2 linked regions of the Arabidopsis thaliana genome follow. The protein of the gene in region 1 purifies or fractionates together with the protein of each later gene. This does not show direct contact. Each region holds a gene or a part of one and is shown in the gene's direction. Other genes may lie near its edges. The genes, in order: GATB and AT3G25660.

Region 1 (5,449 bases):
AAAGTTGGGGGATTAATTGACATTTTTCCCGTAAAACAACATTCAGCTATTACAATGACAGATTATTTGTTGTAAGTTTTCTTGGAACCAGCAGCTCATGACTTTGCCAAAAAATGTGTACTTATTCGTTAAGTGTAATTAAAACACGTTTCTTGAGCTTGTTTGGTGTTTTCTTTTGTTTTCTTGCAGGGTCATTAACGAATCACCCTATTACGTGGACAACAAGTCATCAACAGACTATTGAACACGGTTGTCCGATTGCGTTATTAAGCTCTCCTCCAGCTCATCATCTGCACTAAGACAAATTTAGACCCCGACCATTTTGAGTATATATATGAACGTATCGTAACTATAGTATAGTGTATAGCTTTTGTTTCTTCAGATTTTGATAGGAAGGTTTAGTTTTGGAAATTGTATCTATTTGTCTTAACTCTTGTATATGTGTAACAAAAGCTTTAAATAAGACTACATGCATCCTGGCATTCTCACATCGGAAAAACGTTTTGAGCTAAGAATCCGACAATAAACTTTGCACCATCTTCGTTGGAGTTTTCAAGGGACTTATCGATGAGCAGCTCTCTTTATAGAATATTTGGCAATTTCTATTATAGCCTCTCTAAGCTTTGTTGGACCCACTGGTATAAACAAACTTGTGACACACTGACACAAGATCTAGAAGACCAGTTCTTGGCTTAGAAGAGAAGAAGGTTTTGGCTTACCAAAGCTCTTATTTATAAACGTTTTAAATGTTTATAGTATTAAGACTTTTATTAAATTTCAAATATTATAATATTTGAATTTTATATATATATATATTTTTTTTTGATGACTTTTGGGAAATCAATAAAGGGTTTACTACACTATTTATTTATGGAAGAATGAATGCTATTGAATTTAATTCTTAAGATTTAGCATATTTGATGAAAAATAAAAAATATCTCGACTCATTGTTTTTAAAATCTCAAGCTAATCGATGGAACCGTACGGAACCGTCTCAGCACAATCACAGCCACTAGCAACCATCGTTACAAGGATGGCCTGCAGCTTTGGTTCTCCACACGCTCGTCCTCTTAGCCCGAGTGTTCTGTTTTTCTATGTCAAACTCTGTTTCTACTTCTCTTCTAAATTTCAGCATGAAGTAGCATTTATTGTATAAACGTTTTTTGTTTGAATATAATTTTACATTCTTTCAAAAAAAATAAAATCTCAATTATTTTGTGTGATCTTAACAAATTACTCCAGTATAAAATCTATGATTTATTTCTCCACAATGTTCATTAAATCAATTTTATATAAACTATTTATTACTCTTCAATATCAGATTGGTACCATATTCCTTAAAAAACCACTACATATATTTATTCCAATTTAGTTATGGTATCAAATATTTTATGTTTGGCTACCAAGAGATTTGAGACATAACTCAATTGCCTATAAATACTCTTCACCTTTAACGTCTCATCGCATCATCTAATCAAAGGTTAGTCTTATGGTTTTTCATTAGATATTTGATGTTTTTTCAGTGTCCAATTATTTTTTTTAATACATGGACATAATTCTTTTCCCAAAATTTTATGGTTAAAAATAATTTTCTTTTTGAGAGTTCTTTTTTTCCTCATCATATAATGTTTTTTTTTTATAAAGTTTCATGTTTAATGTTTTCTATGTATGCTTTTCCTTCTGATTTTGTTTTTAACAAATATAATTTATAAGATCGTTAATAATTTTTGTTTGATTTCTTGCAGGAAAATAAAATATGTAGGATCCTCCTTTTTCTATTTGATCTCATCTTCCAAATTTTTATAAACATTTGAGCAATTGATGTCAAAGTGAATACAAAAACAGGAAATATAGTAGTCTTATATAAGACAATTGTTTACTATATAACAACTATATGCAAACAAGAATTAATCTACGGATTTAAACCTAAACTAAAAATGATCACTAACTTGATGAACAAGTTAAAAGCCCAAACCTATCTCTGGATCAGAAAGAAAGAGAAGCTAATCAGAGTCTCAGAGAGAGATTTGGGCTTAAAAAGACATAACAGGCCCAATAACTCAATTAAGCCCAATTCGGATAACACCCCTGCGCACAAGATGATGCGTGAAAAGATAAGTCGACGGCTCTTCTCCGATAAGATTCCGGTGAGAAACGAGCAGGTCCTGTCTTCTTATGAACTCAATTTCTTCATTTCTGATTCTATAAAACATCCTTAAAAACATGTCTACCACATTGTTGAGAACAATTCAGCTAAACCAGTTCTCACTTCTCGGAACTAGCTTGTTAAGAAGGAGAAGGAGTAACAACTTCTCCGTGAGGTCTTGTGGAAGCCAAACAACGACGACCCATGAAGCTAAACAGTCTTCTCCAACAAGGGTTGCTCCAAAAAACCACAAAAGCAACCAACTTGATGAGATTCTGAGAGATTACGAAGCTGTAATTGGGATAGAGACTCATGTTCAGCTCTCTACATTGACAAAAGCCTTTTGTAGTTGCTCTAACAATTACGGTTCTTATCCAAACACAAGTATTTGTCCTGTTTGTATGGGTTTGCCTGGTGCTTTGCCTGTTTTGAATTCCAAAGTTGTTGAATTTGGTGTTAGATTGGGTTTAGCTTTGAATTGTGATTTGTCTCTTAAGTCTAAATTCGATAGGAAGCAGTATTTTTATCCAGATCTTCCTAAAGGTTATCAGATTTCTCAGTTTGATATTCCTATTGCATCTGGTGGTTATGTGGATGTGGATATTCCTCTTGAGTTTGGTGGTGGACATAGGAGATTTGGTATTACTAGGGTTCATATGGAAGAAGATGCTGGCAAGTTACTTCATTCAGACACAGGAGATTACTCTCAGGTTCATATGGAATTTATGACACGTTTCAGTTTGGTTTTATCAGATTCTTGTAAGGGTTTTAGGTTTCAGATGCAAGATGTTTGTGTTTCTTATGTGTTAGTTGGTTACTCTAATGGTGCAGGTAGATTTGAATAGAGCAGGTGTTCCTTTACTTGAGATTGTTTCTGAACCTGATATGAGAAGTGGTATAGAAGCTGCTGAATACGCTTGTGAAATGCAACGGATTGCGAGGTATTTGGGAGTCAGTAATGGGAATATGCAAGAAGGCTCTCTTCGCTGCGATGTCAATATCTCAATCCGTCCTATTGGGCAAGCTGAGTTTGGCACCAAGGTCAACAAGTTTCTTTCTCTCTATATTTCTTTGTCATTTATGTGAAGGGATGATCCACTCATTAATCTCGTTGCTGATTCGAGTTACAGGTAGAAATAAAGAATTTGAACGCGTTTTCAGCAATTAGCAGAGCAATAGACTTTGAGATATCAAGACAAGCACTTCTCTATAATCAGGGGAAAGCAGACCAGATTGTAACGGAGACTCGGCTATGGGAAGAAGGCGCTCAGGTTCTAAGCTAAAACTCTTTCATCAGGTGCTTCCTTTTTCCATCAGCAACTAACTTGAGTAGATGTTCAGAAAACAGTAACAATGAGGAAAAAGGAAGGGCTTGCTGATTACCGCTACTTTCCAGAACCAGATCTTCCAGAAGTTATCCTTACCCAAGAATATGTTGATAGCATTCGTGCTTCTTTACCGGAACTCCCTGAAGCAAAGCGCAGGAGATATGAGGCGATGGGTCTAGGCATGCAAGATGTGCTTTTCCTCGCGAATGACGTCAGTGTAAGTCCTATTTGCTCAATGTAGATGATATTTTAGATACATAATGAACCTACTTATGTTATCTTCACAAGAAGACAATGGTGAGAGCTAAAGAGTAAACTTTCTGATCAATTTGGTGAGAATATAGATTTTTTTTTGTATAACAGCAAGACGAGTAAACTGTTGTTTGAATGAATGGCATAGGTTGCAGAATATTTCGATGCAGTCATTGGTAAGGGTGCTGAAGTGAAGTTGGCAGCAAATTGGATAATGAGTGATATTGCTGCTTACTTGAAAAATGAGAAACTTTCTATCAATGATATTAAACTCACTCCCCAAGAGTTGGCTGAACTGATAGCTGCAATCAAAGATGGAACCATTAGCGGAAAGATCGGAAAAGAGGTCGGTTCAATTCAATCTACAAATTCATCATCTTTCGCTTAGATCAATGCGATGAATTCCGTTTTTGCAGATACTGTTTGAGCTATTAGCCAAAGGTGGAACCGTCAAAGGAATGATAAAGGCAAAAGATTTAGTTCAGGCAAGTCCATGAAGAGTTGAAACCAGAGAATTACATCTTTCACTTTCCAACATGCCATTTTTAATTGAGAAATGACTTTTGCTTCTCTGTAGATAACTGATCCTGCAGAGATTGAGAAAATGGTTATTCAAGTGGTCTCTGAGAACCCAAAGCAGCTTGAGCAGTACCGCAGTGGGAAAACCAAGCTTCAAGGCTATTTTGCTGGCCAGGTATGGCAGATACGATCCTCATTTTCTTGAAAACTTGTACTTGGTGAAGCAGTTTAAACTCGTATATGCTTTGTTCAGGTTATGAAAATGTCGAAAGGCAAGGCAAACCCAGGGTTACTGAACAAGATCCTCCTGGAGAAGCTCAATGCCAAAGACTGATTGAAGCTTCAGCATTGACAGAGTTATTGCTCTTGAAATAGACATTGAAATGGTACAAAGTGATTTTTGCTCGTTGGTTATTGCTCTTGAACTAGAATGTTCTTGTACAAATCTTTTCCTTTGCAAATGTGTTGTTGGTTAAAACATAATCTGTTCTTTTCAAATACCTATCAATTACATCTTGACGCTGCATTGTCGAAACTAGATTCCGGGTCCATGCCCTTCGTACTCTCGGCTTTTTAATGTATTCCAGAAGATTCATTTGTGAAGACTAGTTAAACCATGAGACTTACCTCTTATTGAGCAGTTTTCCTCATGGTATCCTTAGCTTGTAAATTAGCACTTCTCAGGTTTATTCTCAAAAACAATCCAAATTCAGTATGAGCATTACTTCCTATACCAAGTTTCTGATAAATGATTGACACTTTGACAGAGTTATAGGATAGGCAAAACTCAAACTTTACTTCTGGGAACAATACTTTTACGTAAACCAATGTTTTTACTCTCTCATATTACCAGAATTCTTCTAACTTCAAAGGTCAAGACTCAAGTGCAAAATGCATACTTTAAAACATTCATGTAGCATTGAACGAGAGATTCCAGACTACACCATAGATGACTCGTTATCACATCATTTGTCTTACATATTACATTACTCTATCAATTCTACTTCTGAACTATTGAACTGAACAATACAACTAGTAAGCATACAGTAATTGTATAAAAATGTACAAGGTAAAAGATTTAGTTACTGTTGTTATATCGTTTGGAAGCGAAAGCTAAACAAAGACTCAACGATAAATCTTAACATTGAACATTTTTCCTTTATTCGAAGAATTCAAAGTCCTGTTATAAGAGATTCACTTATAC
Region 2 (5,351 bases), on another chromosome or scaffold:
ACTTTGGTGTCTCAGGCTCTGTCATTGGTTTCAAACAGACAATACAAACCAAACCAAACAAAGCCTTGTACTGCCTGGAATTTTCTGACTTCATATACAGAATTTAATGACTCTTTTATTTTTTCAATATTTTTTTTGGTGAATTTTAAAAGTAGATATTGATGTTCAATTAAAGATGAGACAGTTAGGGGTTTTTAGTATAGACTGAAAAAATCTTCTTTTACTATTTACTTTGTTTTTTCTTAGTTTGCAGTTAGCTTTTTACGATCATTTATAGCTATTTTTTTCTCTCTTTCTTTTGTTGCTTTCATAGGCTCTGTCTCCATAACTCCACAAGTCATTATTAGTTGTTCATAGGTGACGGCTTCTGTACTTTTTCTCAGTATTTACTAAGACAAAAGCAAAAATAATTGTTTTTCTTGTTTTATAACTCGGCTGCAACAAGTTTTGGTTTTATGTAAAAGATTTTAGCGACATTAGATATTGAATTAGACGAAAAAGATGTCGAATTCGTGTCTGAATTATGTTTAACAAGTTTTTTATTCCCATTAGTAATATTTTACGGACTTGTTGAGTTAAATACTGAGAAAGTCTATTTCCCAAAACACTCTTTTTCCTCTATGTTTCAATAGGAATAACATAATATTTCTAACATTTTTTCAAACTTTTGATTATTTATATAATTATTGAAAATTACAATTTATGTCTATCGTATCATTCTTAAAAATTTCAATGGAGAATAAAGTATTTTCATTGTTAAATACGTTCTTACGATCTTTTTTTCCATTTCATCTTTTCTTACTATCTTATCCACAAGCTTGTGATTTGTGAATCAAAATTAAAAAGAAATTTATATTTTCCTTTTAATCAGTTAAATCCAATGAGATGTTCTTGGAATTGAAAACAATGATGATATTTAATAAATGATTCTTGCAAGTTTCAATGAGCCGTACGGATTAAATAGTAAAGTTAGTAATGAGTTTGGTTTTCTTGAACAATTTATTAACTCAACCCTCTGGCCAAGAGTTGAATGTTCCTGCAGTCCTTATTTCCTGGCTCTTTTTTCACTTTTTTACCGTAAAGTAATTTATATACAGTTAATGTAATTATTAATTTCCGTACAAGTTTTTGACACTTTTATCGTCTTGATTTGATTGATTTTGTTGGATGGAGTAAATACTTTACTCTATTTACTTACAAATTATATCGAGCTCTTTTGTTTAGTGTCATATCCTTAAAACATGTATAATGAATGACTAATACATGTCAACAAGGGAAAGCACAAATAACCAATGACATAAGTTCGTCATATTTTTCAATTTTTACGTCATACGAATAACATTGATTGGCTAGTTCGATTAAAACTCAAAAGCATGGTAAAGATTTTACAGCGGAAATACTTGAATGTATATTTTTACCAATGTTACCTAATTTCTAAAGACCTTCTCATTGTCAACTGTTTTAAGCTTAACATAAAATATATATAATTATCGTTACGTTAAATACAATTTTGGGAACATACATATAACATAATAGATAATCGTAAGTCGTAACTATTCATAACTCGTTCTACAGTCTACACCATCGCCGCCTTAACTTTTATTGGGCTTTAACGATAAGAAAAAATTGTATTGGGCTTTATTACCCATTTAATTTCGGCCCACTAATAAATCTTCTCTCCATGTTTTGAACACTGAAAAAAGTCTTATCCTGATGATTTCTCTCCTTCCTCGAACAGTCGCCGAAACATTTTCGCCGGCGTTACACCGGAGAATTCATCCTTCTTTGTCTTATTACTCTACTACCCAATTTCAGTTTAAACTCACTATCTTCCCAATTTGATGATTCAGTGATTCAAATTCGAAACTTCAAGCAATGTTATCGACATTGCAACCGCCGCGTTCTCTATCACTCCTCCCTCTACGCCGGTTCCAAATATCTAAAACCATCGTCTCCGCAGCTTCTTCGAAGACCATCGACACTTCCGTTATCTCTCCACCACAATCTCAAATTCTCACCACTCGTCGTTCACTCCTCTCCGGCGAAACCACAGCTGTCGAAATCGCAAAATCTTACCTTTCTCGTATCCGTCTCACTGAACCTCAGCTCAAATGCTTCCTTCACGTATCGGAGAATGTTCTCAAAGATGCTCAAGAGATTGATCAACGAATCGCTAAAGGTGAGGAATTGGGTCCTCTCGCCGGAGTTTTGATCGGCGTTAAGGATAATATATGTACTCAAGGTATGCCTTCTACTGCTGCTTCGAGAATCTTAGAGCATTATCGTCCACCGTTCGATGCGACGGCGGTTAAGAAGATTAAAGAGTTGGGTGGGATTGTTGTTGGTAAGACTAATATGGATGAGTTTGGAATGGGAAGTACCACTGAAGCTTCTGCTTTTCAGGTTTGTCTTATGAATCTTGTGATGATTGTTAATAAATTTGGAGCATGTTTAGATAGATGAATATGGTTTTGTTAGGGAGACTTGTGATGATGGTTTAGGATTGAATGATTCAGCAATGTTAATAAAGTTGGAGCCTTTATTTATGGTCTTATTGGGGAGCTTGTGATGGTATAGGGATTGAATCTTGGGGTTTGGTTTTGGTTTAAAGGTAACTGCGAATCCGTGGGATTTGAGTCGTGTACCGGGAGGTTCATCGGGAGGATCAGCAGCAGCTGTTGCAGCAAGGCAGTGTATGGTGTCACTTGGTAGTGATACTGGTGGAAGTGTGAGACAGCCAGCTTCGTTTTGTGGTGTTGTAGGTCTTAAGCCGACTTATGGGCGTGTTTCTAGGTTTGGGCTTATGGCTTATGCGTCTTCGTTGGATGTGATTGGGTGTTTTGGGTCTACGGTTGCTGATGCTGGGATGCTTCTTCATGCTATTTCGGGGTATGATAGGTTTGACTCCACGAGTAGCAAACAAGTAAGGTCTCTTGTTGTAGTTGGTTTCCTGCATTGTAATGAACGAAAGATGTTTTCTTTGAAAACAGAAACATATTTCTCTTTGTTCAGGATGTGCCTGAGTTCCAGTCTCAGTTTCTATCTGTGGATCATTTTGAGTCTAAACCATTGAATGGAGTGAAAGTTGGTATAATTCGCGAGACACTTGAAGACGGTGTTGATTCTGGAGTGAGATCTGCTACTCAGGAAGCTGCGTCTCACTTAGAAGCATTGGGTTGTATATTGACAGAGGTTATTTTCACTTTTCCCTTTGTCTCAGTTTTTCTTTTTCGTTTTTGTGTAAAAATTCTGAGATTTGTTGCCAAAATTTACAGGTCTCCCTTCCTTCATTCTCTCTTGGACTACCAGCTTACTACGTTATTGCCTCATCGGAGTCATCTTCGAATTTATCACGTTATGATGGTGTCAGGTAATCTCGGTATTATGACTTGACTCACAATATGAGTGCATCATGGATATAGAAAATGATATTGTTTCTTGTATTGGAAATGAAGATATGGTAATCAAGTTATGGCTGAAGAACTCAATAAGCTGTATGAATGTTCCCGTGGAGAAGGATTTGGAGGAGAGGTATGATTTCAGAATTTACTCCATCTGATTTAATCAACAAATGCTTGATTATAATCAATGACAATTTTGATTTCAAGGTGAAAATGAGAATTTTAATGGGGACATATGCACTTTCTGCGGGTTACTACGATGCTTACTACAAGCGAGCTCAACAGGTAAGCCGCATCTTCAAATGCAGTCAATAGAAATAGAACCTGTTTTGATAGATAAATGTATGCTCTTTTTGTTTGGTTGTTAATACAGGTGAGGACACTAATTCGAAAAGACTTCAAAGCAGCGTTAGAACAGAACGATATCCTTATTTCTCCGGCAGCTCCATCTGCTGCATACAAGATTGGTGAAAAGAAAGATGATCCACTGGCAATGTATGCTGGAGACATTATGACGGTAAAAATCTTTCGTAGTTTCTTTCTCTATTTAATCGTTGTTACACGAAACATAGTTTGTATCATATGAGGTTTGTTGCAGGTCAATGTGAATCTTGCCGGACTTCCTGCAATGGTATTACCTTGTGGATTAGTCGAAGGTGGTCCCTCGGGTCTTCCTGTTGGTCTTCAAATGATCGGAGCAGCGTTTGATGAGGTTTGTTATAAACTCTGTCTCTTTGCTTACTCTAAAAGATTAGATTAAGATTCACATGATGATTTGTTGATTGGTTTTAGGAGAAATTGCTGAAAGTGGGTCACATATTTGAGCAGACTCTTAAAGGATCGAGCTTTGTTCCTCCATTGTTAGCCAATGTAGCCTAACCATGTAACCACCAAGGCTCTTTTTGCGTTTACATTTCATGCTTGGTTTAAGCAACGGATTTATCAATTGTAATTGTACTTCAATTCTTTTATAATATAAATGTAGATACACCCCATGGGCCACATACGTATTCTTTCTTCTTCTTCTTCTTGGTCTCTATGCTCTTATTTGGTACTCCTAAATGGGGATGGTTTTTTTCTTTTATTCGTTTTTGATTTATTGGTCCTTGGCCCTTGCCATTGCATTCATGCACTTGATTATTGTTGAGTATCATGATTGATTAACACAATTTTTAAATATGTATATTTTGTTATAAATCTTGAGTAAATAAACTAAAAAATTGTATCAACTGAAAAGAAGTCCTTGCCATTGCATTCATGCACATGATTATTATTAATTATGGTTGTATCATGATTGATTAACACAATATTTAAATTTGTATATTTTGTTATAAATCTTGAGTAAGTAAACTTAAAATTTGTCCACTAGTACCAACACAAATCTTAATAAATGGTCAAAAGCATTACACGTTTCAAATAGATTATTGGCATTTTATAAAATGAAACTCTGGTGCTAGAGTATAAGTATAGACTACTTTAAAATTTCTAGAATAATTCTGAAGAAATCATATGTTATTACCTATAATTATGCAAACATATTAAAATCTCAGAAATCTAGTGGTCCAGACGAATATCTGTCTCCAGTGGACGATCAAAATCCAACGGATCATGCGTGTGCATGGTTTGACATTTACGTCTACTCCGTGAAAGTTGTCACATGAATATATAAACACATTAACCTATGAAAAGAGATTTTTGTTGGACGAAATGTTATGTTAGTTGTTATAACAGAACAAAATTATGTGCTGATAAATAATTTAAATATTAGGTGCCACAAATAATTTGCAGGTGAATAATTAACTATTAAATATGATAAATTAATTGTTTGGTAACCCCTAATAACGGAAATAATTTCTTTAAACAAAACTTGTTTATTTGGCCTATGGACTATACATGGTGGTTAGCTTCAAACTATTTACGCAAGTCCTTCTCAAGAGATCATGTTAAAAA

What was found.
Region 2: the proteins of GATB (region 1) and AT3G25660 fractionate together in Arabidopsis thaliana (co-fractionation; one large-scale study listed by BioGRID). This does not show direct contact.

Annotation. Positions count from the first base shown.
Region 1 is NC_003070.9:17,937,962-17,943,410, forward strand, and holds GATB (GLU-ADT subunit B), read left to right. Parts: upstream 1-2,088; 5' UTR 2,089-2,223; coding exon 2,224-2,856; intron 2,857-2,977; coding exon 2,978-3,187; intron 3,188-3,276; coding exon 3,277-3,417; intron 3,418-3,487; coding exon 3,488-3,691; intron 3,692-3,874; coding exon 3,875-4,072; coding exon of another isoform or gene 4,073-4,114; exon of another isoform or gene 4,115-4,142; coding exon 4,143-4,211; coding exon of another isoform or gene 4,212-4,215; intron 4,216-4,303; coding exon 4,304-4,420; intron 4,421-4,498; coding exon 4,499-4,579; 3' UTR 4,580-4,903; downstream 4,904-5,449.
Region 2 is NC_003074.8:9,338,569-9,343,919, reverse strand, and holds AT3G25660 (Amidase family protein), read left to right. Parts: upstream 1-1,696; 5' UTR 1,697-1,875; coding exon 1,876-2,403; intron 2,404-2,611; coding exon 2,612-2,923; intron 2,924-3,012; coding exon 3,013-3,192; intron 3,193-3,275; coding exon 3,276-3,370; intron 3,371-3,455; coding exon 3,456-3,531; intron 3,532-3,608; coding exon 3,609-3,686; intron 3,687-3,774; coding exon 3,775-3,918; intron 3,919-3,999; coding exon 4,000-4,113; intron 4,114-4,193; coding exon 4,194-4,280; 3' UTR 4,281-4,578; downstream 4,579-5,351. UniProt on the Arabidopsis thaliana protein: Allows the formation of correctly charged Gln-tRNA(Gln) through the transamidation of misacylated Glu-tRNA(Gln) in chloroplasts and mitochondria. The reaction takes place in the presence of glutamine and ATP through an activated gamma-phospho-Glu-tRNA(Gln).